Linked DNA regions of Caenorhabditis elegans. The protein of the gene in region 2 interacts with the protein of the main gene of each other region in a biochemical or structural test. Each region holds a gene or a part of one and is shown on either strand. Other genes may lie near its edges. The genes, in order: fbf-2 and lst-1.

The links.
Region 1: the proteins of lst-1 (region 2) and fbf-2 are reported together in a solved structure, tested with the Caenorhabditis elegans proteins (one study listed by BioGRID).

What each region holds. Positions count from the first base shown.
Region 1 is NC_003280.10:6,084,325-6,097,651, reverse strand, and holds fbf-2 (Fem-3 mRNA-binding factor 2), read left to right. Parts: upstream 1-6,171; 5' UTR 6,172-6,279; coding exon 6,280-6,321; intron 6,322-6,369; coding exon 6,370-6,603; intron 6,604-6,651; coding exon 6,652-6,827; intron 6,828-6,879; coding exon 6,880-7,132; intron 7,133-7,175; coding exon 7,176-7,789; intron 7,790-7,840; coding exon 7,841-7,969; intron 7,970-8,015; coding exon 8,016-8,219; intron 8,220-8,263; coding exon 8,264-8,510; 3' UTR 8,511-8,789; downstream 8,790-13,327. Other genes in the region: tpp-2 (Tripeptidyl-peptidase 2), read left to right, coding at 221-331, 424-528, 578-1,527, 1,575-1,802, 1,850-2,640, 2,694-3,164, 3,210-3,447, 3,494-3,837 and 1 more; nspg-3 (DUF19 domain-containing protein), read right to left, coding at 4,897-5,107, 5,156-5,252, 5,296-5,450, 5,570-5,832. UniProt on the Caenorhabditis elegans protein: RNA-binding protein that binds to the consensus sequence 5'-UGUGCCAUA-3' in mRNA 3'-UTRs. Involved in the control of stem cells and sex determination in the C.elegans hermaphrodite germline.
Region 2 is NC_003279.8:10,582,869-10,595,466, reverse strand, and holds lst-1 (Lateral signaling target 1 protein), read right to left. Parts: upstream 6,967-12,598; 5' UTR 6,956-6,966; coding exon 6,926-6,955; intron 6,795-6,925; exon of another isoform or gene 6,789-6,794; coding exon 6,720-6,788; intron 6,534-6,719; coding exon 5,988-6,533; intron 5,906-5,987; coding exon 5,652-5,905; intron 5,475-5,651; coding exon 5,387-5,474; 3' UTR 5,003-5,386; downstream 1-5,002. Other genes in the region: T22A3.12 (Cilia- and flagella-associated protein 157), read right to left, coding at 1-88, 134-378, 424-522, 840-940, 990-993; Histone-lysine N-methyltransferase set-18, read right to left, coding at 1,627-1,764, 1,820-2,164, 2,507-2,524, 2,803-2,943, 3,156-3,606, 4,136-4,281, 4,324-4,518, 4,565-4,654. UniProt on the Caenorhabditis elegans protein: Plays a role in germline stem cell maintenance, perhaps acting in concert with mRNA-binding factor fbf-2.

The DNA.
Region 1 (13,327 bases), on a different chromosome or scaffold from region 2:
TGCTCGGCCGTGTACTCCTCCAGGGAAACTAGCCTGTTTTTGTCACCATCGTTCATTTTCTCTTTTTTTTCACAATTTGTGTTCGTTCTGTTTACCAGCAACTGTCGTTTGAAAAATTGTTTTGCAGAGAGCTTTGGGTAAAAACAATATAAAAATAGATAAGTAGCACACCAAAAACGCTCGCCTAAAGCAGATTTTGAATCATTTTGTTTTCGCATAAATGATAGTGATAAGAAACTGGCAGCGTATTAGCTATTTATCATTTTGTCGATTTTCAACTCGATCACTGTCAATTCAGCAATTCCAGAAAACTCCTCTGTTGCTGGTAGTGGTGGGTATTAACAAATTTATTCATTTAATACCAGCTTTTGCTAGACTATTAATTAACTACAACGTTTCATAATTTTTTACGTTCAATTTCAGAGGCAACAAGGATCTGCACGTTTAAAAATGACTTCTTCTCCTCCTGAAATAGTCCCGCAACAGCCATTAGATGCGTTGCTTCTCAACAAGACGGATACAGAGCAGGTTACAATTTGATATTTTTTTAATTTTAGTTCCAATGGTTTATTTTCAGGAAATATTTCTCACAAAATACCCCAATTATGATGGAAGGGATATTTTGATTGCAATTCTGGATACAGGAGTTGATCCATCGTTGCCGGGAATGCAAGTTACAACAACCGGAGAAAGAAAAATGTTTGATGTTATTGACTGTTCTGGAGCTGGTGATGTTGATACCTCGATCACAAGAACTGTCAAAGATGGAGTTATTGAAGGAATTTCTGGACGAAAATTAGCGATTCCAGAGAAATGGAAGTGCCCAACTGGACAATACCATGTAGGACTGAAGCCAATCTTTGAGCTCTACACGAAGGGAGTGAAATCTCGTGTTATCAGCGAACGGAAAGAGGATGTTGTTGGACCGTCTCATAACATCGCAGCTTCGGAAGCTTTGAAACAACTTACAGAACATGAAAAAGTAGTTGGAGGTACCAGCGAAAAAACTTCAGACAAGTGGGCAAGAGAAGACTTTGCGTGCAAAGTTGATTTCCTGAAATCAATGGCTTCTGTAGCCGATGTTGGACCAGTTGCTGATGTCGTCACCTGGCATGATGGTGAAATGTGGAGAGTATGCATTGATACATCTTTCCGTGGACGATTAGGATTGGGCAATGTGCTCGGAACGTTTCGTGAAACTGGCGACTATGCTTATCTTACTAATAAGGATTCTGTTGTGTATACTGTGCGAGTGAGTCCCGATGGAAACCTCACGGAAATCGTCGTCCCATCTGGTGCACATGGAAGCCATGTTGCAGGAATCGCTGCTGCAAACTATCCAGATAATCCTCAAAAGAATGGACTTGCTCCAGGAGCAAAAATTCTCTCACTAAACATTGGAGATCATCGTTTGGGAGCTATGGAAACTGGACAAGCAATGACGAGAGCATTCAATATGTGCGCCGAGTTGAACGTCGATATCATTAATATGTCATTCGGAGAAGGAACTCATTTGCCGGATGTTGGGTAAGACATCGTTAGTCTATTGCTCAGCGTTCAGAGATTTGTTTCAGACGCGTCATTGAAGAAGCTCGACGATTGATTAATAGACGAGGCGTGATCTACGTTTGCTCAGCTGGAAATCAAGGACCTGCGCTTTCTACTGTCGGTGCTCCTGGTGGAACTACAACTGGTGTAATTGGAATTGGTGCTTATTTAACTTCCGAATCAGCTGATACGCTCTACGGTGTTTACAAGCCTGTCGAAAGTAGTATTTACCCATGGAGCTCTAGAGGACCATGGTAAGTTTTTTTTCAGTGTTCTTGAATTTAAAACTTTCATTTTTCAGCCAAGACGGAAAGCTAGGAGTTAGTCTTGTGGCTCCAGCGGCTGCATTTGCTGGAGTTCCTCAATATTGTCGCCAAAGTATGCAAATGATGAATGGAACAAGTATGAGCTCTCCCAATGCAGCTGGAAATGTCGCTTGTATGCTGTCAGGATTGAAGCAGAATAATTTGAAATGGACTCCATACACCGTTCGCATGGCATTGGAAAATACTGCCTATATGCTTCCACATATTGAGTCATTTTCGCAAGGACAAGGAATGATCAAGATCGCCACTGCGTATGAAAAACTTTCCGAGATTTTAGTCAATAAAGTGTTCCCACCAAGACTGACACATTTCGAGATCAATGTATCGAATCACTGCAAGAAATCGAAAGGTGTATATGTTCGTGAGCCTAACTGGAATGGACCGCAGGAATTCACGATTGGCGTTGAACCAATTTTCCAGAATCATCTATCTGATAACAATTTACCTGCAATCAGTTTTGAGAAACAGATTATTTTACAATCAACTGCTCCATGGGTTTCTCATCCACAAACAATGTTTGTGGTAGCTCAAGAAAGAACAATGGTTGTGACCGTTGATGCATCAAAAGCACCAAAAGGTGCAAACTACACTGAAATTGTTGGAATTGATACGGCTGATCCATCATTGGGACCGATTTTCCGTATTCCGGTTACTGTAATCAATCCTGAGAAGGTAGCGGTTGATCAATACACTTCTAGACTTGTTGGTAAATCGGGAGTCACCGAAAGACGATTTGTCGAAGTACCGTCGTGGGCAACCAGTGCAAGTAAGTAAAAAATGAAAATTAAAGAAAATTCTATTAATCTCATCATTTTACAGAGATAACACTCCGATCTACTAACAAAGACGAAATGGATAGATTTACACTTCATACGGTCTACATTGAGGATGATAAATGTTCCCGAAACACAGAAACTCAAAAAATACAGGGTCCAATTGGAAATGAATGGAGCAAGTCGATTACTGTTCAAGGTGGAAAGACTCTTGAAGCATGTGTTGTTCGTGCTTGGTCACGTGGAAAGAATCCTGTGGATGTTGACATGACCATCGACTTCTTTGGAGTCAAAAAGCCAACTTCTATTTCACTGATTCATGGAGCAACTAACACGCCCATTCGCTTCCAAGCTGCTCCAACGAAAAGTATCGACGTTTCTCCTTCGATTTCTCTAAAATCACTTGTTGTATCACTGAAACCACAATCTGCCAAAGTAGAACCATTGGGACCACGTGATATGTTCCTTACGTCTGGACTTCAAATCAATCGTCTTCTGTTGACTTATCAGCTTAAAGGTAACCTTTTTTAACTACATAATTATTAAAATATTATTTTTTCAGTTCAAAAACCAAGTGAAGTGCAACTTCAACTTGCTGGCCTTACTCCATATTTGTATGAATCTCCTGTGGACTGTGTACTCTTCCAAATTTTCGGAGCAAACAAGTCGTTTGTGGGTGCTTCTTCTTCGTACCCGGATCGTTGGACTCAGAAGCTTGAGAAAGGAGATTATACTATTCAGGCTCAGATTAGATATCCGGATGATCAAGTTTTGCAAGGAATGAAGGAACTTCCTCTGCTGTAAGTAATTCTTTAAATTCTAACTGAAATGATTTTTGTGTTTCAGTGTTCATGTGAAACTTGGAAACAAAATTTCTGTTGACCTCGCAGCTTCTGCCAGCGATGCAACACTTGGAAAAGAGTGCAAATTTGCTGGAAAAGCCCTTCTTCCAAATCAAGAAATGACCGTCTACGCTATGAATATCGCTGATGATAAATTGCCAAAGACTATCGTACCAACAAGTGGAAGTTTCCTTGCTGGAACATTTAGTGCTCTCAAGGATTCTGATTTGAGTGATGTAGACAAATCTGAAGTTATTTACTTTCTCAGTGAGTACTCTACTCGTCCTACGAAAGGATTGTCAATGGTTACAACAAAGAAAGATACGAATCAAAATCAGGAAATGACTGGTAGATAATAATTAAAAATTGTATCTTTTATTAAATTCATATTTACAGACGCCATTCGCGATTTGGAAGTATCATGGGTGCAAAAATTGACAGACGAAAAGGCAGCGAAAGAATTTTTCGAAGCTTGTCTGCAGAAGTATCCAGATCATCTCCCACTACTTCAGAATCGAGTAAAGCAATTGATGCAAGCAAAACTTGTGGATCAAACACCGGAAAACGTGCAGAAGATTATTGAATTATGTGGTCAAATTTTGCAAATCACAAAACCGAATGAAACTCTTCAGTTCTCATCCGTCAAGCAAGAACATGATGATGATCTCCTTACTGTTGACAAATGGCTGGCACTAACCGGAGGCAGTGAGGACCAGCGAAAGGATGTGGTGAAGTTGATTTCACAATTTGAGGAACGGAAGAAAAGTATTATTCTCGCTTTGCAAGCTCTTTCATCATTGGAGCAGGATATTGAAGTTCGTAAGAGCAAGTTCGACGTTCCAGCAAGTCTTCGTTTCGGAGGAATCACTCCTCTAATTTTCGGTGGAAAGCAAGGAGAAGTGATCAATAAGAAGTCTGAAGGTTATGAAGCACTGAAATCAAAATCTGAACAAATTGATGCAACTGTCTCTGAAGAACTGAAAAAGTTGGATAGTAATTGGACTGGAAATCAGTTTTACGTCAAGCTTCTCGTTTGGTTGTCTGCTGATGATACTAAAACTGCACTGATCTCTGCCAAACATGCAGCTGCTCTTGGACAATTTGGAAGATGTGCAAAGCTTCTCAACAAAGCTGGAGATGAACTGAAGTCGTCTGCTACTGATTCGCAAGCTGTTGATACATCATTGGCTGAAGTCTGCGAAAGTCTCGAGTGGAATCATCTTGCTACTCACTTTAAAAATTCGGCTCTGATCAAAAACAGAACCTCCTACCGTCTTTTCTAATTAGTGTATCATAAGAAATTTCGCGGGTTTCTTTTTTCTGGAAGCTTTTTTGCTTCCATTTCCGTTGTGAATCAAATGATTTTCCCATTTGAATAGATAAACTTTTATTGTTTTATAAATGAGATCAAACAAAAATTTTGCAGAGATACATTAAAATTATTAAGAAGAAGAATGTTCGAGGTTGCGACGAATTGATGCATGGCATGTACTCACAGAAGTTCCACCCAGTCATGTGGGTGAGAATCTTCTGATATTGGCAGTATGATTTGACAGCACTATTTCCACATGATTTTCTCACTACTGCTCGCTCACATTGTGTGGTTCGTGATACGGAGCTCAAAATTAAAAACTAATCTCAATAAGTCTGAAACTATTAGACTCACTCGCAACTGCCAACTTCCAAAACGGAACATTCAGTATAAATCGTGTCAGAGAGATCATTCAAACTGATTGCTTGCATACATTCATAATATGCCACAACTGAAATATTTATAAAACAATGAACGAGAATGAAAAACCTCACAATCATTTCCATAATTACAATAGAATTCAAGAAACCCCGTTTGTGAGATGTAATAAGCTGCATTGCTTTCTGAACCAAAAATTGCATTGAAAGTGTTATAGTTGAGACAATCATTGATGACGTCACTATGACAGTGACGTAGAGTTGTATATGTACTGTAATTATTCGTCTTTTTTAAAAATATTTATTCTAGCATGTAAAACCGGTTCTATTGAAATTCTTCAATAATTTTACAATTTAAAAGGTGTTGCAATGTTGTAATACCTTCACATACCTACACATTCCAGTGGCATCGTACCGAATTTTCTTAAATGGATCTTCGTCTGCTGGGGGAAGGCTAGTCACATTTGAACCATATGATTGAAACATATCTATATAACATTGTTGTAGCACTTGATCTTGATCAGAACTGCAGTTATGCAGCACTCCTTCGTTTCCCGCTACGGTTTGCTTCACTAGACCTGCTAAATCAACTTCGAGTGTCTCTAGCGATTTAGTAACGATCGTAACCACAACAACGAGAATATTCCAAATCATCAAATATAGGGAAAGAAAATTTTGTGTTTCGAGCAATTTAAAGTGTTTAGTCTGAAACAGAATAGCTCGTAAAATGTCGTCACCGTCAGTCGACCGGTTTATAGCTTTTCGGGAGGTTGAAATGTGTTTATCAATTTGATATGTTACGGTCCCGGAATTTTCCAAAAATTTTTATTGTTTCTAGTAATCATTAGTAATCAAATTGATAATTATTTTAAATACACTTTTTAATTCTTGAAACATGTGATTAGAATCTCGCATTATTTGAAAATTTCAATTTGGTTACGGTAGACAATGACAAAGTACGCAAACACCAGAGTATGTGACACACTTTCGTCATTTGCGAATTCGATTTTAAATATTATTTTCATATTCCCATTCCTATTTTCTGTGAATTGATAATTTTTCTATGAGTAATCATTCTAATAAAATTATCAACTAATCGACATGGACCAATCAAAGATGCGCAGAACGAATCAGTTCAGAAAAGTAAGTTTTCAGTAACTTCTAAAGAAACAAATGGCCTAAGTTTTACAGACTTCCCAGAAGCCTCCTTCTACAGGGATTGACAGTTATCCGACTCCCGCACAATCACCAATGGCGCAGCATGAGACACCTATGTGGGACTTCAACTCTCTCAACCCGTATTTCTCAATGCTCAATATGAACGATGGGATTAATTATGCTCGCCATCAACAGAATCACATTGTTACATCGCGGCCACCAACCCCGCTAACTGATTTGATGAGCCTTCGGAGTTTTCAGAGCTTTGTAAGTTAGAGTAGGCAATTTTTGGTTGTTTTCATTACTGATTTGCAGCCCAATGTGTTCATGCCGGTCTCGCGTAGCCGAACTTCATCATTCATTCAGTCTGATACGGATTCCTCGCGTCTCGAGTCGGATGATTTTTCACAAAATGTCCGATGTTTCTCTGCGGATATTGATCGTAGCAAGAGCTATGGTTCTTCAAAACACTACCATTTGAAATATTCGAGGTTCGAATTAATTTATCACTATCCTCTAGTATTTATTCTTTTTTATTTATAGACCCGCTCTGTCGAGGAACTCTAGATCATTCACAAGATCAAACAATGTGCTGCCAACCTGGTCCTTGGATTCCAATGGTGAAATGCGTTCAAGATTGTCGCTCTCTGAAGTTTTGGATAGTGGCGATTTAATGAAGTTTGCCGTTGACAAAACTGGGTGCCAGTTCCTAGAAAAGGCAGTGAAGGGCAGCCTGACATCTTATCAGAAGTTCCAATTGTTTGAACAAGTTATTGGGAGAAAAGATGATTTCCTTGTAAGTTTTAGTTTCTGCGAGCACACATGACTTTTCTTTTCAGAAATTGAGCACGAACATCTTTGGAAATTATTTGGTACAAAGCGTTATTGGAATTTCATTGGCAACTAATGATGACGGATACACAAAGCGACAAGAAAAGTTGAAGAACTTCATCAGTTCCCAAATGACAGATATGTGCTTGGACAAATTTGCGTGTCGTGTTATCCAATCCAGTCTCCAGAACATGGATTTATCCCTTGCGTGTAAACTTGTTCAAGCTCTACCTCGTGATGCTCGTCTTATCGCAATCTGTGTTGATCAAAATGCCAATCACGTCATTCAGAAAGTCGTAGCAGTCATCCCACTGAAGAATTGGGAGTTTATTGTGGATTTCGTTGCCACCCCAGAGCACCTCCGTCAGATTTGTTCTGATAAGTATGGGTGCCGTGTTGTGCAAACTATTATCGAAAAGCTCACTGCTGATTCAATGAACGTTGATTTAACTTCCGCTGCTCAAAATCTTCGTGAACGAGCGCTCCAACGACTCATGACTTCTGTGACTAATCGGTGCCAAGAATTAGCTACGAACGAGTATGCCAATTACATAATACAGCATATTGTATCCAATGATGATCTGGCCGTTTATCGGGAATGTATCATAGAGAAATGCCTCATGTGAGTGTTATTGTTTAATATCTACTTGATTTTTAATCATCAATATTTCAGGCGCAACCTTCTTTCGTTGTCCCAGGAAAAGTTTGCTTCTCATGTTGTTGAGAAAGCATTCCTACATGCACCATTGGAACTTCTTGCCGAAATGATGGACGAGATTTTCGACGGATACATTCCACATCCGTAAAAACATTAGTTTCAGTCACATAAAAATGAAATGTTTTTTCAGGGACACGGGAAAAGATGCCCTCGATATCATGATGTTCCATCAATTCGGAAACTACGTCGTTCAATGCATGCTGACTATTTGCTGTGATGCTGTGTCTGGAAGACGGCAAACGAAAGAAGGAGGCTATGACCATGCAATCTCATTCCAGGATTGGCTGAAAAAGTTGCACTCGAGAGTTACGAAAGAAAGGCATCGCTTGTCAAGGTTATCACTATTGTCACAATAATATTTTGAAATTCGAAATTCAGGTTCTCATCCGGCAAAAAGATGATCGAGACGCTTGCCAATCTCCGTTCAACTCATCCGATTTATGAACTCCAATCTTCGGGACACGATTCATTCAAGACGGATTACTTCAGTACTGCTTCCGAGCACGATGGTCCGGAGTTGGAGAAGAATGGGATCGAGGAAGGAAGCCTGATGCTAGAGCCACGGAGCAATAAGTCTTCAGTCTCTGTCAAATTTTCTTCTTCCGGTAGTCACGGCGATGATTAAGGTGGAACTTTCTCACCATAAATCTCATCCCACCCACTTATGTTCTGTTGTTTTGTAATATTTTAAACTGGTGCAATGATTTCGTTTCGATTTTAAGATCGATGTTGTGCCTTCCCCACTCTTATCATTGCCCAGTTTTGTTTTTTCTTTTCTTTTTTGTTATTTTATTGCTTTTTATGCAGTTGTGTTATTGTTTCTTTCTGTTTACTGTTCATTGTTTTTGTTAATTTTTTATTTTCGATTTTAATGAATCCAGATAAAATTAGACAACTTGGCAAAATATCGTTCGAGTCTTTGTCATGCTTCCACCGAGAGCTTCCTGCTTCCATACAATGCCTGCTCAGAAAACAATTTTGAAAGCGAAGAGAAAAGTTGTTCTTTGCTCGGAGAACAAAAAACTGATAACCGACAAATGTTGACTTTGTAAATTTAATCAAATTAGAAACCATGAAGAATAAATATAGTTCAATTATCATATTGAAATTTATCTTACAATTGCATCGATTTCAAAATAATGGGACTCTCAGAAAATAGAAAAACAAAAATTGGATACTGGGGATGAGGAAGAACTCCGCGAACATTGGCGGTCCTTCTCTCATGTGGTCCTCGTATAGGTGGTGGCAATCCTCTCATTGTTATCCAACATCGAGAAAATGTTCTTCGGCTAGAACTCTGAAACAAAAATACTTTCAAATTAAAATTGTCAAGATAAATTCGTACTTCCTGACACAATTTGTGTTGTTGCAGCGTTGAATTCGATTCCAAACCAAGTGGCAAGACCAAGACCCAGCAATGATGATGGAATAGTTGAATTGACAGAATTCCTCGAGCATATCAGCAATGGATGTTGATGCAAGTGGATGCAATGTTCTTCTTTTGTTTCTCATCAACGTTTGCCTTATGATTGTGAAGTGACTTGATGAACTCTCTCTGCCATGCTTAAAGAACTTGTTCAGCAGCAATTTCGTTCCATGCATCAATGTCTAATCCAGCCTTCATAGAGTTTCTTCCAGGCTTCTGCTTGAATCTCAAGAAAACATAGGCGGGGCTTGCAACGAGAAAAACTGATTGAAGAGCATCATCTCCTGATAGTTTTCCTCCCTTCTTGGCACGTCTTGGATCTCCTAGTATCATATCTTCAAGCCAATTAAGAACGTTAGATGCGAAACCAGAACATCCACTGTGTATACATATTCATCACTTCGGACCATTTGTCTTTGTTATCTTTCAACCATTCGAAAACAGACTTCCGGTATTATTTATAATCTGAAACATGACTTTATATTTTAATAGAAAAACGAATTTACTTAAATACAGTCTTTCAATTCTCTGGCTTTTTGCTTTTTCTCTTTTTCTTCTGCAGCTCTGGTTTCCTCCGGTGACAAAGTAGTCGTAGTTGGAATAGGAGCAGTTGTTACTGGAATATTTGCTGGTACTGCATCTTCAACTGCTGGAATCGCATCTACTGGTCTTTATTCTTAATCTTAAATTTTATGGCAAATACTGTTTTACTACTTGATCTTTTACTATGTATCTCTTTTACTACAAGATCTCTTTTACTACGGAATCTCTTTTACTACGAATTCCGCATTTAGATCTTTTACTACAATTGGCTCTTTTACTACGTGATCTCTTTTACTACCATTTGACCACATATATCTTTTACTACGGAAAATACTTTTTTACTACCTCATTTTTTACTACGTGGATCTTTCACTACGGTTTTTTATTCCGATGTTTTGCTACAGTTTGTATCTTTTGCTACGGTAGACATTTTTACTACAATGGCAGGGATTGTACTTTTCACTATGTTTCGTATCTTTTACTACTAATTTTTTACTACGAATTAAAAATTAATGTCTATAGTATTTTATATTCTAGATATAAACAAATGTATGAATTTTTTTTCAAAATACATAGGTCATAATTGTAGATGGAGTTAATGGAGGGAGACTGTTGAGTTACTGTAGTGGTATTGTGGAAATAACAGTTTTCAGATTATATAGTGTTTTTTTTAATTTCTGGAAATTTATTCACTATGAAATGAGCAGAACTTATTATGGCCATTTGGATCTAGAAATTAAAAAAAACACGATATGATCTCTTGCTCTCTTGTAAAACTTTTGTAAAAATTTCAGAAACATTTAAAAAGTCCTCTATAAATGTTTTAAAACTCAGAAGATTTTCTGAAAATGAAAATGTAGGTATCCTATCTCGGTCGTCAATTTATTTGTCATAGTTTTCAACTACAAAGTTGTTGAATATGGTATGATCTACGATTTGTCAGTTGAACATTTTTTTACCAAATTGTTTTTTCGCGGAGATATCGGTACTTGGAGTCAATACGTTTTATGAACTAACTTTTGACAACTTATCTCCGTTTTTTTTTCAAATCTAAAATCGTGATATAAACATTCAAATTGACCGAAAACAATAATAATTTTATACAAGATTCGATAAATTTAGAAAAAAAACATTTCTAAAGTGTTGATCAAAAGTTTCAAAATGTCAGCTGAAGTCAAAATTTTAAACACCTGACAGATAACTGACCGAACCCGCAAGTTTTTTATTACATTATAGACTTATACATATAGACATTATAGACAAAACTTATAGAGCAACGGGTATGGAACTAATTTGTTGGCTATGCGAAAAAAAAAAGAATTACTCCCACAATACCACTACAGTAACCCAACAGTCTCCCTCCATTAACTCCATCTACAATTATGACCTATGTATTTAAAAAAAACTATTCATACATTTGTTTATATCTAGAGTATAAAATATTATAGACATTAATTTTTAATTCGTAGTAAAAAATTAGTAGTAAAAGATACGAAACATAGTGAAAAGTACAATCCCTGCCATTGTAGTAAAAATGTCTACCGTAGCAAAAGATACAAACTGTAGCAAAACATCGGAATATGAAACCGTAGTGAAAGATCCACGTAGTAAAAAATGAGGTAGTAAAAAAGTATTTTCCGTAGTAAAAGATCTATGTGGTCAAATGGTAGTAAAAGAGATCACGTAGTAAAAGAGCCAATTGTAGTAAAAGATCTAAATGCGGAACTTGTAGTAAAAGAGATTCCGTAGTAACAGAGATCTTGTAGTAAAAGAGATACTTAGTAAAAGATCAAGTAGTAAAACAGTATTTGCCTTGAAGGCAGTAAGCAAATTCGTTTTTTTTTCTAGTAAAATATAAAACCACGTTTCAGATTGTAAATCATACCGGGAGTCTGCTTTCGAATGGTTAAAAGATAACAAAGACAAATGGCCAGAAGTGATGTCTGAAAACATGTACCCACAGAATGTTGATTACGCAGCAGAGATGACTGGAGGATGTTCTGGTTTCGCATCTAACGTTCTCAATTGGCCTGAAGATATGATACTTGGAAATCCAAGACGTGCCAAGAAGGGAGGAAAACTATCAGGAGCTGATGCTCTACAATTCGTTTTTCTTGTTGCAAGCCCCGCCGATGTTTTCTTGAGATTCAAGCAGAGCCTGGAAGAAACTCTGGAAACTCTCTCTCTCTATGAAGAACATTGCATCCACTTGCATCGACATCCATTGCTGATATGCTCGAGGAATTCTGTCAATTCAACTATACCATCATCCTTGCTGGATATGCTCTCATGCTGGCATATGCTATTGTTACTAATTCTCGATTTGACAACTGCCTTCCGGCTACAGAATCATCAATGGGGGTTCGCCCTTGCAGGAGTTCTTGTCGTCACATTCGCTTCAGTGGCAGGTATTGGTCTCGCCACTTGGTTTGGAATAGAATTCAACGCTGCTACAACACAAATTGTACCATTCCTCACTCTTGGAATCGGTGTTGATAATATGTTCATGTTATTGCACAACTATCGTGACGTTGTTAAACTTGCTGGCGGACACGCTGAGATGGCTATCCTGATGCGTGAAACTGGAATGTCAATTCTGTGCACTTCGATCAACAACATTCTTTCCTTCCTCACTGGAACTCTTCTACCAATTCCAGCTCTGCGATCATTCTGTGCTCAGTCCAGTATTCTTCTCACATTCAATTTCATAGCTATCCTTACAATCTATCCAGCGATCATTTCTATTGATCTTCGACGAAAGAAGGCTCAGCGTCGTGATTTCGACACTAGAGAAGAATCGTACTCGATGATTTCTAAACCAAAGATTCAAAGTAAACGAATTATTGGAGCACTTCGGAAGCTTCGATTATGCAACAGTTCGACGGAATAACTCAAGCGCAGATGGCATCGAGCGATGATCCAGCTCCATGGTCTCTTCATTCATTCATCCGTTACTACTACATTCCATTCATTTCTAAACCAGCATCTAAAGTAGCAATCATCGTTGGCTGCTGTGCTTTGCTCGGTGCATCATTTGTTGGAATGCGTCAGTCGACACTCGGTCTTGAATTGGGAGATGTTCTACCAGAACATACTGCACCTGCACAGTTCTTGAGAGCCAGAGACAAGTACTTCAGGTAAGAAGTTCGTTTTTGATTCAAAACATTTTTTTTTCTTTTTTCAGTTTCTACCCAATGTTCGCAGTCATCAAGGGACCTAACATTGATTATGCTCACCAGCAACGCCAGATTGACAATTACCGACAGTCGATTGGATCTTCAAAATATGTGATTAAAAATAAAAACGAAGAGCCATCAGAAAAGTATTGGCTGGGATTAATGCGAGACTGGCTCATTAGTATTCAACGCGGATTCGATGAAGAAGTTGCTAAAGGATCATTCAATCTTACATCTGGAACAGTTATTGGCAGCAATGTTTCCGAGGATGCTCGTCTTGCTCACGCTCTCATGTGC
Region 2 (12,598 bases):
CGGACTAATTTTCGGGGCCGTCGCTGTTATCGATTTCGATTTTTCAGGTAAAATCCCAGTTATGGTGTGTTGAGATGGAGAAATGCGTCTGTAAAGTATTCATTAATTGATTGTACTTTTTTGGTAAACTTACGGTAATTCAATACTACATTTTTTGACAGATTTCGCTGGTTTCTTTGGTGGCTTATACCATCCAATAAAAATCAAAATCGTAATTCCATAATTGTAGATTTTGTGTCCCAAAGCTCGAATAATCCCATTCTTTTTATGTTGCCGTTTTGCAAACGTCACATTCCGTCGAAAATCATCATATTCTCGATTTGCTTCCATCTCTTGAGCATCGATTTCGTCGAGCTTCTCCTTGATTTTTTCGAGTAACTGAAGATTGGCAGGTGATTTTTCAGAAGTTGAAGAATAAATTACCTTTTGATTGTGAGTATGAACTGAATCAAATTTTGATCTCAGATTTCCCATTTTTTGAGTGATTTGATGAAGACGGAGACTCATGAGTTCACTCACTTCCTGTTAATAATAGTTACGAATTTGACAAATTCAGGTTTATTTTTCAAACTGAATTTATGTGTCAAACGCCACGCATTGTCGGTGAACCAAAAACTTTCTAATGAAAACAAATAAAAGGTATGTGCGCCTTTAAGAAGTACAGTAGCTGTTTAAAGTTCTATCACAAATTTATTTCGTGGCGAGACCCAAGTAAGTCTCACCATCGGGAAACTACTGTACCACTTAAAGGCGATTTGAAAACTAGCTTTGAAAATTAGCTCTGAAAATGCTGAAACACCGACTGAATGCACCATAATTTACGCGCAAACAGTGTATACCGTATTCCGCTGAGAAACATTTTCCAGTGATCGACGTAGATTTTTCTCATGATCATCACATATCTTCGCTAGACTATCTATTCTTTCAAATTCATTCGTTGCTGAAACATATTCATTTTTCTTTGAATATAAATAATTCCAAAAACTTACACATTTTTTGGTTTTAATATGAAATATTTCGAAATGAGCAGTCGAAATTCAAAATTTCTGAATTTTTATAAGAGACTACACTCGAAATAATAAAACTGCGTGGCGTGTACTGCAGAAAACCTCATAATTAGGCCCCGCCTTTTTATCGTCCACTCACGGGGAAAAGGCAAAATTCGGGGACCAACCAATATCAGGCCGCCGACATCTCATGGGTTCCGCGCACCGCTATGTTTAACTCGTTGTGGGTGTGGCAAGCTGTCTCCGCCCGCTGCGAGATAAACATAGCGGCGCGCGGAACCCATGAGATGTCGGCGGCCTGATATTGGTTGGTCCCCGAATTCTGCCTTTTCCCCGTGAGTGGACGAAAAAAAGGCGGGGCCTAAATATTAGGTTTTCTGCAGTACACGCCACGCAGTTTTATTATTTTGAGTGTAGACTTTGTTTATTTCGATTTTTATAGAGAAAAGTTCACGTTTCGATGTTCAAAGTGTCGAAGTTAAAAGTTTTAAATGAATTTTTTAAAAACCAATTATTTATTGCAGAGGAACGTATAACAAATTAGCAGGAACGTTGGGCTACCAACAATTGAAAAAATAAAACAAAATTAAAAATTTTATGAAGCAAAATTTTTAACCGGTTAAGCAACACCTGGAGTACCAGCAGCATACGGTGGCGGTGGAAGCATGTTGGCTCTTTTCAGGAGGCTCACAATATCAATTGGACGATTATCGGAGAAATTTGTGAGTTGAACGAGTTCTTCGGTTGATTTTGGAATCTGAATTTTTTTGATTTTTAATGCAAAAACTCTTAATTAAAAAAATTTTAAATACCTTTTTCTCTAAATAAGTCCACAATGCAAGAGTTTGAAGGTAATATGGATGGTCTAATCCAAAGCAAACTTCGAAAATATTCATAGCATCAAATGCGTATGGCATGGCTTCATCTCTCTCGTCTTTTTCAATTAATGCTTTTACAATATGAAGAAGTTGGAATCCAACGTGTCGATCTGCTTTCGGGAAACACATTTTATAGTTGTTGTAGATTTGTGTATGCATTGAGGATAGATTATCCATCGTAAGAGTTCCTGTGACGTGGAATAATGCGGTTCTGAGTCTTGCCACGTAGACATTTGATGGATGCAGTATTTGTTCGGCTTTTGCAAGGAGTTCTTTGAGCTAAAAAGTCAAAATTAAAAAAGTTTACTGGAGCCCTATGAGAAGCTGGGGGGTTTTGGAATGAATGTGCTCTAGGGTAAAAAACGAAAAAGAATTGCATCGACCGGGAATCGAACCCGGGCCGCCCGCGTGGCAGGCGAGCATTCTACCACTGAACCACCGATGCGACGAAAACTTTCTGGGAACCGAGGATATTTGAAGCGTAGAGGAGAACGAAAAATAGTGATGGATAATAATGTCGGAGAGGAAGATGGGGAAATTGTGGAGGGGAGAGAAATCGTAGGGAAAAGCAGGGAAGGAGTGTCCGAGGAGAACACACGCCTTTGAATATAATAAACAAACCTTGCCTGGAAGAGCTTCCTGAATTGGGATTTATCATTTACCGAGAGTTTTGTCTATTTTATTCAGAACTCTACATATTAATATTTCAATTTAAACCAAAGCTAATCATTTGAAAACTTGCTTAAAAATTAAAATATTGCAAAGGCTTTATTAAACTATATATGTATGGGTCCCACCGCGTGCTACCATAAACAGTTCTTCGTGGCGAGGCCTATCCTAATAAATTCTTGCGCCTTTACTTTTCAGAAAGTTACAAAGATTACAGTACATTGTTATAATAATCAAAGAAAACTTACAATTTCTGCTGGACACTTTGGATCAAATGATGCTGGAAGGGTTTTCATGTATTCTTGAGCTGCTTTTACAGTATCCTCTTCGACAATCGTTTTGCATTTTTCACAAGCAATGTTCATTGGTTCTTCAGTTTCAGATGTTAGCTGGAATTTCGCTTTGATTCTTCAGAAAATGAATTAAGTTCTAGAGCAAGTTTTGTTGCCAATTCAAAGGGCTCGGGTCTCGTGACGAGCGAAACTGTTCAGCTACAGTACTCTAAGTATACGTTTCAGAAAATTGTAACACTAGATCGACCGATCGAATTGAACATTTGAATTTCCTGCAAAAGCGTTTAGATTTTGAAAAAAAAACTAACAATTGGAGCATCACAAGCCGGATTTGCACATCGAATAGCTGTCAATGCATCATCTTCTGGATCCATACATCTTGTACATTCACAATTAAAATACCATCTTGAATTTAAATCTCTTCTTCGAATATACTTGCTTCTTCCCACATCAATATACGAAATGAATGCTTCTTCAGTATTTTCAGCATCAACACCTGGAACCAGTGGTCGAAGACATACACGATATCCATCAAAAACCATTGAACATGTTGGACGACATGAATGATTATACTTTGAAACACCCAAATCAAGAGCCATTCCGACTTCATTTCCAGCATTTGTGTGAATACTGTGAGAATTGATTGTAGCCTTACAGAATACATCGAAGAATTCGCCTTTTTCAATCATTTCCTCTCCTCGGAAGGCTCCCATTTTCTCGAAGATTTTCTCAAAATGAGCCATCTTCTCCTCGTCGTCTCTAAAATTGTGTTTTTGATATTTTTCAAATATCTTAAAACGCCTATTCCATGGCTTCGAAAAGCTGAAAATCGACCTCCGCGTTAATCTAATTTGAATTTCGCGCGCAAATGAGTGCTCCAGTGCACTCGCGCGTGTACTCCTCTCGGACAATTAACTATTAGTTAATATTTTAGATTCCTAGCGATTTTTCGTATTTTCATGATTTTTCATAATTCATTTTGGCTTTTATTTGTAACAAGCATGAACAAAAGTAAGAACATTTATTTTTTTAATCGAATATTAGAAGAATACCATCTAAACAAATAGTTAAAATTCCAATTTTGCTGAAAAATTCGTTAAAAGTATTCTGATTTTTGTTCTATTTCGCGTTTCGCGTTAGCGTTTAGTAAATTGGTATGTTTTCGTGCTCTAGAAAAATTTATACTGAAAAGATACGAAAAGTCGCGACAAAATCTAATTAAATTGACATAATCGTTGATTTTTGACTCTTGAAAGATCCTATTCACCAGTTTTTCAATTATTCTCACCTGATATCAACCTTATGGTCAACCAAACTCGAGAATTTCCTCTCTGCCTCAATTCCCAATTTATCTCCATTTTTCTCCAAAAACTGAATACGATCGATAACTTTTGAAAGGAACAAAACTTCAGTGAGTGGAAGATTTGGGAAGCTCTCAAATTTAATATTAATTCCAATTTTTAGTTAGAAACCCACAGCTTTCAGTCTTTTGCATTCTGGTTTATGAACTAACCAGGCAGTTGCCTGACACTCTTTACTACAATACATTGAGAAATTACATCCACCACAACGAAGAAGCTTCTCTCCTGGAGCAGGACCACGAAGACAGTTTGCACAGAATTCGCTCACTTTTGGATTGAGAACTTGAGTGGCGAACGGTGTCTCGAAAATCTGTAATTTGATTTTTAAGAAATTAAATAAGTACAAAAAAAATCACCTTAATTCTAGCATGAATCGACGAAATTTCGTCTTTCTGAACCAATGGATCCTCCTGTTTTGGCACATTCTTATTCTTTTTTACAGCCATTTTCAGAAGTTTCAGTAGAAAAATAAATGTTCACAAAAAGTGTCGAATAGTAAAGATTTTTCGAGAAGAAACAGGAAAAAGAGGGAAAGGCGGAGAGTTCGCGAGATGTGGATGAGTGTAATCACGGCAAATATTACACACGAGAAGCCTCTTGGAGCACCCCTATGCATCGATCCTTCGAGAAGTTTGTTGAAGCATGTTCAATCTATTCGCGCATGATATTATGTTTCCAGTGATCGATGAATAATGTGTGGAAAATTCCGAAAATCTTCAACTGTGTGCCTCATCCCAATTTGAGATTTAATTTCTGAAATTCCTGCCAATAAATGAATAAGAATAGCGAAAAGTAAATATTTGACATCTTTATTTTATCGGGCAAGATCCCACCAGAGACAAAAGAGCACATGGATATACAGCGAAAGATTGGATGGGATTTGAAATTCACATAATTCGCACAGTTGATTATGTTTTATTAAAAAAGGGAAGGGGATCAAAAAACAGGGATGGTGGTAATATGTAAGTTAAACATAAAATGGTGTGTGTGGCAGGAGCTAATAAGGATCAGAAAGAATTAATATAAAAAAGAAAAACGCTCACACGGAATGCCCGTATTCGTCAACAAAAGAATCAAGAAGAGAACCGCATTTTTTTGGATGATAGTGTAAAACAAGAAGAACATTTGAAGGGGGTGGTAAAATATAAATTAATTGATATTTAAACCAATTTTATTGCTTAGACTGGAACATTTCGAGCGTGTCCCATTTGTTCGACCATTTCTGAACCGGCACGATCGAGTTGAGCAAACCACAGTCGGGGACATCTGAAATAATAATAATTTGAGAAGATTTTTTTAAAAAAATTATTAGATTTTCGAAGTTTAGATATTTAAAAATCGAAAAAATTACGAATTCCAACACAATTTTTTAAAAGAAAATTTTAGGTCGTGTTTCGATAAAAATATCAATTTTTAGATTTCAAAGAATAAATAAAAACATACGTGACTCGTCCTTGCATATCATAAAGTGTATGCCAATTCCATGGGCCATCACATGAGATGAGTGGTTCGAGATTTGCAACTCGTTGGCACAGTTTCACATACGACTCCCAGCAATAGTGACACCGAACCCATGTGCCCGGAGACATTGGAACCGATGCTGCAGACGAATTGGACGTCACGTTGGAATTGTAAGTTGTTGGCATATAATCCACATATCCACTTGAACGCTTCACGTTGGCATATGATAACTCCGACTGAAAAAAGTAAATTTTTATTGAATTTTGAAAATTATAATTTGATTTCTTTAAAATCACTTAAAATTTATTTTAAACTCACCGGCATTGCAACTTTTGGAACAATTGGTGCGACATGTCTCGTGGATCCATTTAGACGACTCGACCCGCTGATCTGGCTCACATTGTTACGGGATGTGCTGGTTGATGGTTGCACTGGTTGCTTGTATCGACAATCAGGCAAAAGAAACATGTCAAGATCCACGTCAACTGATGGATCCATGATTTCGTGGATTTTGTTCTCATTGTCTGACAATGTCAATCCAGAAAACATGTTCTCCGACGAAGAAGCCGACGAAAATCCGGAAGATGGTGTTCTCATCAGTGGTGGTGGGCCAGACGTTTTTCGAGAATTGTAGTGTGTCGGGCGATCAAATGCATGATAATGCTGTTGTTGTGGAATCATTGCACGAACTCTCTTGTTCTTCTCTATATACGTCAAATGCAATTTTTGACTTCTCAGGCCCGAACGTTGTTGGGGAGAAGATGACAAGCTGGAGAGAACTCCGCTATCTTGACTGGATTCCCAAAAATTGGAAGGTTGATTGAGCGGAATCAGCGGCTTGATTTCAGATCGGAGTTGAAGCAGCTGAAATTAATTTTTATTAATTACGTCTATTTAATGAAAAATTATTTATTTTAATTAAAAAAGAGCAAAATTCTGTTTTTGGAGCGCAAAATTCTATTTAGTGACGAAAGCCACGTGAACGGCGTGACAAAAAATAGGTCAGTTTCGACACGTTTATATAAACGAAAAATAAAACTTCCAACTCACTTGCTTCGGCGCCTCGTGTTGCGACTTCGAGTAGGCGATGGTACTACTGCTTTTGTTGCAGTTGTTTCTCTGAAAAATGATAATATTATTATAAAACTGAAGGTAATAAAAGAAATGGAGAAAGTTGGAGAATCGGGATCATCGTTGAAACAATTCAATCGGAAAGAGAAAATACATATTTAATTTCAAAAAAAAAGTGAACTCACTCTTGGAGGAAGAATAAAAGTCGAACACATTGTCTCGCGCGAAGATTGAATAGTCAAATAATTCTTTTGAAATGAGAAAGAACATGGCACCGACGAATAATTGGACAATTCATCGAAAATAACAAGCGTGGGAAAGTTGTCATTTTCCCACGTATTTTCCCACGCCTGGGGGAGGCGTGGGAAAATGCAATGGAGCAAGAATGCAAGAGCTTTTTTGAATTTCGCGGGCTTTAAAAACATTTAAAAACATGTTTTTAATCGACAAAAAGTTTATTTTTAAAGAAAAAACATTGGATTAGTCTGAAAATTGAAAAAAAACCTCAAAATCGCTTGGGCAAGCAATTAAATTTGAGAAAAACGTTCCCAGATGGGAAAGAAAATAGTTTCCCATTAATCGAAGCCGCTCAAAAAGGTGTGCGCCTTTAAGATGTACAGTAACCCACTCCCCTTTCGCAATTTTCTTAAGCTTTTTCTAGTTTTTCTATTTCAAAAATAAGCAGAATTACATGAAAACCTGAAAAATAAGGCAAAAAAAAAATCTTAGCGAGAAAAAAATAACGTGTAAAATTCCTTGCAAGCGGGTTACTGTATTTCTTAAAGGCGCATACCTCTCAACGCGTCCCGGAATTGGAAATATTTCGTTCGTAAAATATAGAAGTTTTAAAATTGGAATGTAAAATTGTCATCGAAGCCTCATCAACCTAAAATCCGAACACTTTCAATCGGAACTAATCTAATTTCAATCGAAATGGGGGAAAAATGAAAAGAGATGAGAGTAATTAGAGTGACTAAATGAAACGATAAAAACTACGACAGTAGGTGGTCAATAACGGCAGGTAGAAGATGAATGGAGACCTCTTCTTTAGGAGAAAAGAATGACAAGATGAATCATTGAACAATACAGCCATTTGTCAATTTGAAAACATTTTGGGAAGATATCTAAGCATTCTCAGATGTTTGGGAAATTGGAACTTATCAAGGAAACATTAAATTTAAACGGAAAAAAGGTTTAAGATAACAAAAAAGCGACATTTCAGACACTTCGAAGATTTTATTATCGTTTTGAAAACGGAACTGCATGAAAATTTTGTTTTAAAAAAATAAAAAATAAAAATATTACCTAGGTACGAAATTTTGCAATTTTTACGACGAAAATAAAGTACCAGGTCTTGAATTTATGTTAAATACAAGCAGGTTTGCGCCTTAAATCTACAGTACTCCTTGAGACTACTGTAGATTCAAAATGTTCGTTTCCGTCGAATTTTCATCGATTTTTCAAAATAGTTTTTCTTACATTTGGCACAATTTATGTGTTTTTTCTAATTTTTATAAATATTTAAGTTTTATAAAAAATTTTACCGAAAACCTACGAAAAAATCTTTGAAAATTCTGCAGCGATCACCACAAAAATGGGCTATCAAAACATTTTTTCGTGGCGAGACCCATCCGAATGGACCTGTGTGCCTTTAGCTTACTTTGGTGCCATACAATAAAATTTCGATTGTAAAGAAAAAACTACAAAACAACGAAAACTATAAAGTTTCCAAAAACTTTATCACTAGGAACGCGATTCAATTCTCACTAACTTTCTTTTTATCAAATCACACTCAAAATTCAATAAACCGATTAACTAAATGGAATGCCGTCAGTAGTAACAATTGAAAGATTATTAAAAGTGTAAACTTCAAGTGCAAGCTCTCCTTCTTATCAGTTTTTTGTCACGTATTTGAACAGATGGAGGAACATGAGAGACAGATTGAGGTCAAGTATTCGAATACTTTAAAGCTGGAGGAAAAATAAAATTTTAGTTTTCTAGAAGAATGCTTACTATTAGTAATAAGTTAAGAAGTAATCTTCTTCTTAAAATCTTAAATAAATAGCGAACATCTTATGTTTCGAGTAAGTGAAAAAGTGTACACAAAAAACCTGTGTGCTATTTGAACTTTATCAGTATGTAAATATTTAGATGGCATTCGGGAGGTTAGAGTAAACCACCCAATATTTTGTTTCTAAACTATTTTACTTACTCACTAAATATTAGTTATCGCGTAACCTTTCGACGGGGGGCGCAACTCACAATCACCCTCTCTCACCCGAAATCGCCTCCGGAAAAGAGAAGGTGGCCTGTGATTCTCAGACTTTGGTAGCTCACAACTTGACTATCTTTTTGCTAAATTTAAAAATTGCAAACTAACATTGTGATAATAATTTATTTTTCTATATTTTTGTAATTAAACATTTTTAATAACTATATAATAAGCCAAGAAAGGTCTATTTAAGTGGAGCGACAAAAACATGGTGCACCCAAGTACTGTTACTTTGTTAACTTATATCTCGGTTAAATTTGCAGGTACAAAATTGAACATAATAAACTTTTCGTTAGTTAGTAATTTTTTGATAAATCAAAACACAACCCAGATATGAGCTCCCAAAGTTGGTGCATGGAGGGGGACTACTGCTTAACTTTGACATCTCATAACTTAATTATATTTTGTTTAATCCTTGGAAAGTTCCACAAAAATATTAATATTTCATTTTGCTATATTTTTGTAGTGAAAACCTTATTGAAATCTATGAAGTGAGCCGAGATGGCCAGGGCTCGTGGTATTTTTCTTTTAAAAAAATTCAGTTAAAAATTAAGAACAAATATTTTTCCCATAAACTACATGCTACAAAACTATTCAGAAACTAGTGTCACGACAAAAAAAGGACGTAATTGGAGTAAATGAAACGATAAAGTGTCAATGGTCGTCCCGAATAACGGGTCGGATGCAGCAGTGATGAATCATCAAAAAGAACACACGACGCCCACTCTCTACTTCTTACCCGTTATGGTTCTATTTGCTGCTGCCCTGCCACGACTGTGTGTGAGCAGAAAAAAGAATAAAGAGAGAGAGAGAGAGAGGTCAAGACAAACATAGAAAACGATGAAGACAGAGAGGGACAGTGTTCTTCTTCTTCCTCTACTTGTTCATTTTCTCGCGCATCGTATCTGCATACTCTTCCACTCTTTGATATCGATATCTCTACGTCTCTATCCCTCTCACTGTCTCTCTCATGTTCACCTTCATATGGACGGACAGGACACCTCGAGCCATAGCGTGTTATTGGTGACCTCGAGAGACAGAGACAAAGTGTCACTACGTACACCCTTTCGCGCGGTAAAAGCAACATTTTGGAAGAGACGGAGAAACTAATGAGAGAATATGAGAACAAGAGGAAGGATTCAAGTAATTATTATGAATAGGGAGACAGAGAAATAAAGAGATTTGAAAAGGTGATAAGTTTGCGAAAACGACGGATTATCTGCTAAATTAGAGGTAAACAGACGCGAATAATATCCCAAGATAGGTCGCATGCCTACCTACCTACCTAGAGCATACTGTAGAATTAATACAATACTGAATGTGTGAATTTATACAATACTATGTGGACATCAAACACAGAAGAAAACAAAAGACAGGCAAGAAGGCATAGATAGGCATAAGTGCCTGCCTACCATAAAAGCCTTATAGGGAGCTTTTGGCAATTTGTATCAAACGTTTAAAAAAAATTAGCAAACATCTCTTAACGTTTTTCATTGGTTTTTCCGAATGGATCTAGTTTTCAGAAGGCGGACGGGCACGAGGAGGGCGATGAAAGAGGCTTAACATATATTTTGGAGCAAAGTTTATTTTCGAGAAAATTTCATGAATCTCATGGTCCGACACCAATTTTTTATCTTGATCTATTTTCCTTTTGACTTTCTCAATATCAGTAAGGTTTTTTGTCTTTAAAAGTCTGAAAGTGTCTAAAACCCAAAAAAAAAAATTCCAGAAAAAAGGATAACAGTTTTGTAAAGGAGGAAGTGGAAATGGAACGAAAAAAGCACATTCAATGAAACGGTTTTTGGTGGTTTTGATGATCGTTTTGTGAAATCAAATTGCGATGAGACTCGTACAGTTTCCTATTTGTTTTGCAGTTTTCTTTTGACCACACACAAATAGAACATGAATACTTCACCGAAGAATGCAAATAAAACTTGACAGTTTTGATATTGGGCATATTGCAAAAAATAGTTATTTTGAAATTATAAGAGTAAACGTTGTTGTGTCATACAAAAATGAGTCATATGATGATATATTTATGACAATTAGTTTTGGATGTTCTGCCAAAACTTGTCTTTTGAACGGGAAAAAAGTTAATCCCGATGAACGGTTTTTTGGGGATATGAGGATGGCTGATTTACGCCAATTTTTAAAAATTATTCGCAGAACCGGATGTGTGAAATCAGTCTGGACAGGTAAATTGGTTAGAGGATCCCCCCCTCTGATTTTTCAGAAAAAAAATTTGCAGATTTAGAGGTGAATTTTTTGATTTCAAGTAGCCAATATCTTTATCTTTTGATTTACCTCTCGCCCGAAAAGCTTCCCTGGAAAAAATTAACAGAATTTTCAGATTTGCAATTTAAAGATTTTTTAAAGCAAACTTTTTAGTCTGGAAAAGTATGAATCATAATCAATTTTTTTTAACTATCTGTCTTCAGATTTAGTTTTTGGATATTTCTAGATACTTATTAAATTGTAAAAGTAACCACGAAAAGTCAATTTTCACAGAATTGAGACTTATCACTATGAAAGCTAACAAACACAGTTAGTTTACTCTGAACAAGTTTAAAAGTAGACAATTTTTTCCGTTTTCAGAGTATAGCATTGCGAGTGCGAGCACTTGGATTTCTGGTGTGTAATTAATTATAATGATACCTTGCAACCACATATAACTCTGCACACAAAAATAGAACTTTTGAAAAGATGACGCGAATAATACATACAAAGTATATATTTGGATAATCTCTTCAGAATTTTAATGATATTTGTAAAGGAGAAAGATAATTGAAGTTGGCAAAAAAAAATTGTAAATCCCATTCAGGGGCTGAACTTATTTATTTATTTATTTATTGAAATACGTTATTCAACGTGTAATAGACATTAGACAATTACAAATAAGCAGAAGGGTCATTTCCTACGTGTTCTGGAATACCGGTGTGTTCTGGAACTTCAGAGTATGATTGAAAAAAATGAACAACTGTTTTATCAAAAACCTCAAATCAAGGTTGTCCAGAATGGCTCCCGTGAGCTCCAGTCGTGTGCGGGAAATCTACCAAACTTTCAATATTGATATGAAAATTCTAACTCTCAAGTCAAGCATTTATGTAAAAACTTTTGAAAAGGATATCAAAAATTTGATGAAAATTGCCATCCAATGAATTTTTTTTGACTTTTTTGACCAACTTCCATTCGTTCGTCATCCGTAGCTTTCAGCTGATTTCTACAAATGTCCCAATCCAACCGAACTTTCAATATACTTTCGTGTTATTGTGCACTTTATCACTACGGGAGTTCCTCGAGATCAAATTATATTACACTTTGTAGTAAACTGCTCTTCTTTCATCGAACACATCGCACTTTACACCCCGACACTATTTCTCTCGGGTTCTTCTCGAGAGAAAGGAGCTTCTGCTTTCATTTCACTTTGCCTTGAGAACTTTATTATCACAGTTTTTGCACATTTTGTGACTTTAAAAAACAACTTTATACGTGCTTTCAAAACTTTGTGTTCCAATAAGATTTCAAAAGTTAATAATATTTAAATTACTTGAAACTTTAGATCAAATTCGTGACGAGTTTCCTCCTT